Linked DNA regions of Xenopus tropicalis. The protein of the gene in region 1 interacts with the protein of each later gene in a pairwise test. Links are inferred from orthologs where the notes say so. Each region holds a gene or a part of one and is shown in the gene's direction. Other genes may lie near its edges. The genes, in order: aagab and ap2s1.

Region 1 (4,006 bases):
TCTTTGCTTGCATTTCAGACGTGCAGTGATCTTGCTGACACACTGAGTGGTAACTGAGTATCCGTGTTATTCCAGAACAAGCTTTCGGGATCTTCAGCTCATTGGCTGCTGTGAATCACCCCCCAGAGACCAGCGGCGAGCTGCAGGGTGATGTGAGTGGTATCCTGTGTCTGTCTGTCTGTCAGATCACCATAGAGGACTTGCACAAAACTGACATGCATTAGCTCTTTGACCCGCACTTTTCAGTCCGTCCCATCTCTTCTTCCTGGGCCATTATTCTTATTTTATTTATATTTGTGTCCGAACTCACCTCAACACCCACCCACTTGGATACGGCAATGACTAAAGCACACAAAGGAAGAAACACAGCCTTATATTGCGCAGGCAGATGAGAATGAGGCCATCATAGAAAGGAAAGTGAGCATAAACAGAACTCGCTACGTTTGTCCTTCTAAAACAGGGGTCACCAACCCATTTGACCAATGAGCCACATTCAAATGTAAAAAGAGTTTGGGGGCAACACAAGCAAAGGGATGTGATTGGTTATTTGGTAGTCCCTATGGGAACTGGCAGCCTACAGGCGACTCTATTTGTCAGTACACATGTTTTTTATGCAATAAAATCTTGCCTCCAAGCCAGGAATTCAAAAATAAGCATCTGTTTTAAGGCCACTGGGAGCAACATCCAAGGGGTTGGTGAGTAACATGTTGCTCTCGAGCCACTGGTTGGGGATCACAGTTCTATAATATAGTGAAACTGAATTTTATATCCCAGCATTATCTTCTAACACTAAATAGGTGGCTAACTATCGTATACCATTCATAATGCCCACAGCCCCAATTAATGCAGAAGCCACTTAAAATGCAGCTCTTTTTAAAAGCCTTTTAAAGGAGGCACTAAATACACTGGATAGTATGTGAGTTCTAGCCCAGTGACCAAAGTACCCTGAATTATGTTGGATAGAGTTTGTAGGCTCCTACCTTGGAGCTCTGTGACCCTAAAAGCTTGTGCTTCTCTGAGCACCTTTTTAGAGACTTTTAGCAGGTCAGTGACTGACACTAACTGTCAATGGACTTGCTTAACTAGTTAACCCTAGGGTGTGGATTCTTAGTTGAGGCAAAAGACTTTACACAAACTAATTTCCATGCTGCTGTCACCTGGCAATGGCTAACATGAGTGCTATGTTTGATGCACAACCTTAAATGAGAACTAAAGCCTAACTAAAGAAGTAGGGGATGGATATATATATATATATATATATATATATATATATATATATATATATATATATATATATATATATAATATAATATAATGTGTGTAGTGGGCAAATGAGTTTGCTGATGGAATAAAGGCTTTTTTTTAAAAAAAATTATGTATTACACCTATATGGCATGTATTGTGGCACGTGGCCACTTAGGAAATGATGCCCCCAGTGGCTTCTTATCTGCCGATTTACTGCACATGTGCTGCTGTCACTTACTGACATTATGGACGCACAATATACAGAATTTTAATGTCACAATATAAGGCTGATTAGTAAAAACACAGAATTTTATTAATCTCTTTCACCCCTTAAACATTCAGCTACTGGTTAGAATACAAATAAGCTTTTTCCACTACTCACCATTCCTTACCTTCTCTCCCCACTCATAACTGCTACAATACTGCCAGTGCATTGCAGCAAACTTTGACAGGCACATGTACTCATGGGTAGCACTTCCTGCTCCCCCGTCTTACTCTCCACAATATAAATTACAGCATCCTGACCTATAAGTGATCAGTGTAATGAAATATAGTTGCCTTGCTGAGTATCACATCTGCTTTGCATCTGCTCAGAATACCAGATTCAGACTAACACCCAGTTATTCCCAGCAGGCGCCTGCAGCCAGTGAGGGAACTTTGGAGCAGTGCAGAGGAGAGGACTCTGGAAACCCCCGGGATTCGCAAGTTGATACCATAGTTGGTAGGTACACTTGATGCATGGTGCATGCTCAGCATTTTTCTGTAACTACTAGGTCCTCTCTGGAAAAGTGCTGCCCTTCTATAGGCTTACAGCCTGCAGCATCTGTTTGTACAGGGTCAGGTCTGAACTTGGAGTTAGAATAGGCCCTGGCATTCCAAGTGCACATAGGCCCAAAGAGACCCAGTATATACTGTCTGTCTATGGCTTCTTACAGCCCTTCTGGCATTTGCCAGAATCCACAGATTGCCAGTCTGGGCCAGTTTAGGGTAAAAACAGCAGGACTAGGTCACTACATATTTTTCATATGTGTATAGTGTGGATATCATGCTGCATAATAACTTCTGCCCCTCCACTAGATCCAATGCTGGACCTGGACATCAGAGAGCTTGCCAGTCTTACCTCGGGGGAGGGGGACATAGAAAACTTCAGCCGGCTTTTTACCAAATTGCAGGAGATGAAAGGTAACATACTATTAATCTTTCTACTTGCAGTAGAAGGCCGTATATTCAAAGTGACTGTTCCTTGGTTAGTGTAAGAGCCATTTTTCTACACATGGTTTGCATTTAGCAAATAAGATAACTGAGAAAACGACCAATCAGAAGACTTTAAATCCAGGTACAACTCGTACATGATCCGACACACCATGTTAGCTTTACAAAGCTTATGACTGTATGGCAAGGGGGTTGTTAACCTGCTTGTGACGTTCATTTGCTTTTCCTGTAGATAAAGCTGCCACTTTACCTCATGAACAGAGAAAACTGCACGCAGAAAAGGTAATAGCCGTGTGTATTTCATTGGCTCAGTAGATTGGGACGGTGAATGAAGAACAGGGGTTGTGCCTGTTGTGTGCCAGTGTGTTGGGCAAGGTATGCTTACAGGTTCTTTTGCCCCTTTTTTTAGGTTGCCAAAGCTTTCTGGATGGCGATTGGAGGAGACCAGGATGAGATTGAAGGTCTGTCATCTGAGGAAGAGAGCTAAGAGCCATGAGCCCCTGCTGTTTCCAATGAGAGTGGAGCATTAGGACCTGACTTGCTCACGTTTCCATCCTCCCTTCTACCTGCCGTGCTGGTCGGCCTCCATGATGTTTCCACTTAGTAGTTACTTGTCGGTGATTGTTTGCTTGTATATTTATTAGAGGATGACAAATCTAAATAAAATATTTTATATTCATTAAAACTACAGGTTTTGATATTTACAAGAGGCACATGCATTTTAATCCCAAAGAATCACTACGGACGCATACCTCTACAAAACAAGTCTTTTTTGACACTTTGTTGCTTAAAAGGGATGTAAACCCAAAATTATAATGTTGCTTAATAAAAGAAAATGTGATTCTAAGCAAATTTGCAATTGATTGAAAGCAGTGTCTCTCTGTCTGTCTGTCTGTCTTTCTATTTCTTGCACTGGTGGCACTGACACTTGAAACTCTGTAGCAGAAGCCAGATTATTAACTGATCTGGGAAGAAACGTGCAACACTGTCTCCTGCTACATGTTTTTTTTTAATAGAAGTTTTCAATCATTTTAATATAAGGTAATGCTACATTGTTTCAAGAGACAGAGACAGCAGTGCAGAAAGGGATTAACAAATACTGTACAGCTCTCAATAGCGAAATACATACATACTAATACCAAATGGTATTTTCTTTCATTAGGGATGAATGTATTTGTTGGCAGGGTGGTTTATGGCTCCATGGTGGAGGACAAAATGGGAATTGCCCGGTGCAGTCAAGTGACAGGCACACAGCACTCAAAAATGCAGCACTGAGCAGTACCAAGTGATAAGCGCCTGTTACTTGCCTGCATTGTATTAAAGGACAGGGAAAGTCTAAATCAGGGGTGCTAGTTTGATTATGATTGCTACCCTTGGACCCCCTATGCCAGTGTTTCTCATCAGCCCCGGGTATAGTCCTGCAGGAGTCACACCCCCATCTCCTGGGAGATTCCAGCAGTTACTTGTGGTGTCCGGGACTGTAACCCCCTTGCTGTTTATACATTATACTGGGCATGCGTTTGGTCCTGAACAGCCACAAGGGCTATTT
Region 2 (3,503 bases), on another chromosome or scaffold:
GTTGATAATTTGCCTTTATTTATCAGTTTTAGGGTATAGAGTAGCAATGTTTCAAGCCAATATGGTTTCAGCCTTCTTGGCTGAAAACTGTCTACTCTGTGCCCTAGTCGCCTGCTATAAATCTTCCCTACTGTGGGCAACTTATCTCATGTGACTGCTTTACGCTGGCATTAAAGTAAGCTGCCAGTAGGAAAACATACTCGATTTTATGAAGTTTAGTACAGGTATGGGATCCCTTATCCGGAAACCCATTATCCAGAAAGCTCCGAATTACGGAAAGCCTGTCTCCATAGACTCCATTTTAATCAAATAATTCAGAATTTTAAAACTGATTTCCTTTTTATCTGTAGTAATAAAACAGTACCTTGTAATTCATCCCAACTAAGATATAAATAATCTTTATTGGATTCAAAACAATCCTATTGGGTTTAATTAATGGTTTATTGATTTTTAGCAGACTAAGGGCTCTGGCACACGGGGAGATTAGTGCTAATGGGATGCTAGTTCGGGGAGATTAGTCGCCCGTGACAAGGGAGATTTGTCGCGGGCGACTAATCTCCCCAAACTAGCATCCCACTGGTGAAAATGTAAATCGCCGGTGGGATGGCACACGCTGCGCAGGCGATTTCAGCAAATTGCCAAAAATGCCTCGTGAGGCAACTTCGCGATTTGCCGAAATCACCTGCGCAGCGTGTGCCATCCCACCAGCGACTTAATGTATATACTCGAGTATAAGCCTAGTTTTTCAGCACCCGAAATGTGCTGAAATCTCCCCGTGTGCCAGAGCCCTTAAGGTATAGAGATCTAAATTATGGAAAGACCCCTTATCCGGAATACCCTTGGTCCCAAGCATTCTGGATAATGGGTCCTATACCTGTACTGTAAAGCATTCATAGATTAGTCGCCCGCAATGGAGGAGATTTATCGCGGGCCACTAATCATCTTGTGTACTGCCCAAGGGCAGTGACAGATGGGGAATTTTGTAGCCCACGATTAATATCGGCTGCAACTGGTAACAAAACATCCCTTCTTTCCTCTCGGCTAACATGCAAACATACACAATACAGGCAACTTTGCACTGTGTATGTTTCCCCAGCAGCAATACGTCGGTGGAGAGGAAAGAAGGGATGTTGATTGGCTTCATACTATGTTTACAAAAGCACCCTTTTGGACCCAGTATTCAGTAAGGCTAATACCAGATGGGGCTGATTCTTGGCCTGCGAATAAACATAGTCCAAGGATCAGGCCCTACGCTGGCAGCCTTTTCCTGTGCCTGTGTGCAGGCTTATGGAGCGGATTTTGGCTCTGGAAAGCATACTGACACAGGGAAAAGCTGCCAGTATAGGGGATGATTCTCTGCCTCTTAATAAATGGCATTTAAACTAACTCAGCTATAGTTAACATAAACAACTATACAAAACCTTCTTGCAAATTCTTCCATTTCCTGTTCCTATGCTGTATCCAAAAAGCATCCTGTCATACCTTTTTTTTTAGTTTAGGAACTTTAAGATCATATACCGCCGTTATGCTGGGCTGTATTTCTGTATATGCGTGGACGTGACAGATAATAACCTGGCTTATCTGGAAGCCATCCACAACTTTGTAGAGGTAAGTAGATGGTATAAACATGGACAGTGAGCTAAAACAAAATGAAATGGAAATAAAGAAACTTGGAGGGTTGGAGAGATCAAGGGTGAGAGGGTTATACTGACAGAACAATTAAATATTTGAGATTAAAAAAGATTATTCTAAAAGAGGTATGCCTTTTCTAATTAGCTTTTTCTAATCCCAAATTATTCATTGTTATGTCAGTATAACCCTCTCACCCTTTATCTCCCTGACCCTTCCAGTTTCAAACCCAGTCTACAGTTTCTACAAATAGTGATATTACTAATATGAGGGGCAGGGTGTTTTCACAACTCCAGTTTTTAATGAGGACCCAGCGTAAGCCTAACAGAGTCTACACAGTCTTGTGTGAACATCTAAATATGCTTTCAATAACTGTACAAGTATTCACTTTGGCAGACCAATGAAGTGCTGTTACTCATGCCATTATTGCTTAATTATTGATTTAAAAACACTTTTTTAGAAATGGGTAAATAAACAATGTGCTTTATAAATGATACAAATATAAATATATTCACTAATATATATGTCTAATTTGCTTTTTTTTTTTACTTTAGGTGTTAAATGAGTACTTCCATAATGTATGTGAATTAGATCTGGTGTTCAATTTCTACAAGGTAAGACTGCTCTTTCACATTCATTAGTAAATCTCACCCTTTTCCTATCAGTTGCTTCTCTCTCCAATGCCTTTTGTTTCTTTCTATTAAACTTTTGCTTTTTCATTTTAGGTGTACACAGTGGTGGATGAAATGTTTTTGGCTGGTGAAATTAGAGAAACAAGTCAGACAAAAGTTTTGAAGCAGCTGCTGATGCTCCAGTCCCTGGAGTGAGAGTGACTTCTGAGCTGCCATCCACCTAAACTCTCCAGCATCTTGTGTATATATAAATATATATATGTCTTCCCCTTTCAGTCTTGAATAACATTCCAAGCAGGAGCTAAACCTTCTTGCATTGCCCTCACTAATTACCTCTGTATTCTGTTTCAATTTATTCATTATTATGTGACCCATTACTGCCTCTAATCCATAACTCTATATCCTACCTGCCCCTGTCTCTTTTGTTTTCTCTTCTCAAACAAATGAAGTTTTTTAACTTTTAATGTGAAAACAATAAAATATTCTGTGTATAATGATGCTGTGGGAGAGAATTGGAGAAGGGATGATGTGCTGTAGTGAGCTGGTTGCAGATAAACTGGCCCCAAGTGAAGGGAGAGAATATAGTTAAAGTACTTTGTTAAGGAGGAACTTAAACACCTTGTGTGTACTGTAAATTAACAGCAGCTCTGTGCAGTTAAGTTTACATTCTCCTGATTTGGTAACATTTCATGTGCCCCCCCCTCCACTGGTGTCATGCACCAGCACAGTCAGAATGTGCAGCACCGGGAAATGTAATGGTGCTTCCCCAGTAACATATGGGTTGTGTGCTGCCTAAATGTGCTAACACACCTAGTGCTAATGATTTACAGAACTCAGTGGAATCTCAACAAAACACAAGTTAACCTGGTGTATACCAAGATCCTGTGCAAAGTAGAACAATCCATGGTGCAAATCCCATACTCCCCTTAAAGTTGTACTTGCCAGTATGGATTGAAATCTTCACAGAAGCAGCACATAATGGAGTTCTGCTAATAGTTATTGTGGGGTGCATACAGCTGGTGAAGGCAGCATGACACTTTTTGTGGCTCAGCTGTGCATTTTTTTTTGTCCATTGACCACTGAAATAAACAACCACTAATATTAATAAAACCAATTTGTTAGAAGCTGATATCTTTGGACAGTTTTTGTGTTTGAAAATTAAAGTGCAGATACTGATAAGAAGCTATTACTAACTAAAAGAGATTTCTTTCAGTGAAGCGGAGTAGTTTCCATTTCATAATA

Evidence for each region.
Region 2: the proteins of aagab (region 1) and ap2s1 interact in binary tests that used the Homo sapiens proteins (3 or more experiments, as listed by UniProt). The link is inferred for Xenopus tropicalis from reciprocal best matches to the Homo sapiens genes AAGAB and AP2S1.

What each region holds. Positions count from the first base shown.
Region 1 is NC_030679.2:117,428,829-117,432,834, reverse strand, and holds the end of aagab (alpha- and gamma-adaptin-binding protein p34), read left to right. Parts: intron 1-75; coding exon 76-152; intron 153-1,875; coding exon 1,876-1,966; intron 1,967-2,322; coding exon 2,323-2,427; intron 2,428-2,689; coding exon 2,690-2,739; intron 2,740-2,866; coding exon 2,867-2,944; 3' UTR 2,945-3,326; downstream 3,327-4,006. UniProt on the Homo sapiens protein: May be involved in endocytic recycling of growth factor receptors such as EGFR.
Region 2 is NC_030684.2:70,196,668-70,200,170, forward strand, and holds the end of ap2s1 (AP-2 complex subunit sigma), read left to right. Parts: intron 1-1,494; coding exon 1,495-1,608; intron 1,609-2,183; coding exon 2,184-2,243; intron 2,244-2,354; coding exon 2,355-2,456; 3' UTR 2,457-2,755; downstream 2,756-3,503. UniProt on the Homo sapiens protein: Component of the adaptor protein complex 2 (AP-2). Adaptor protein complexes function in protein transport via transport vesicles in different membrane traffic pathways.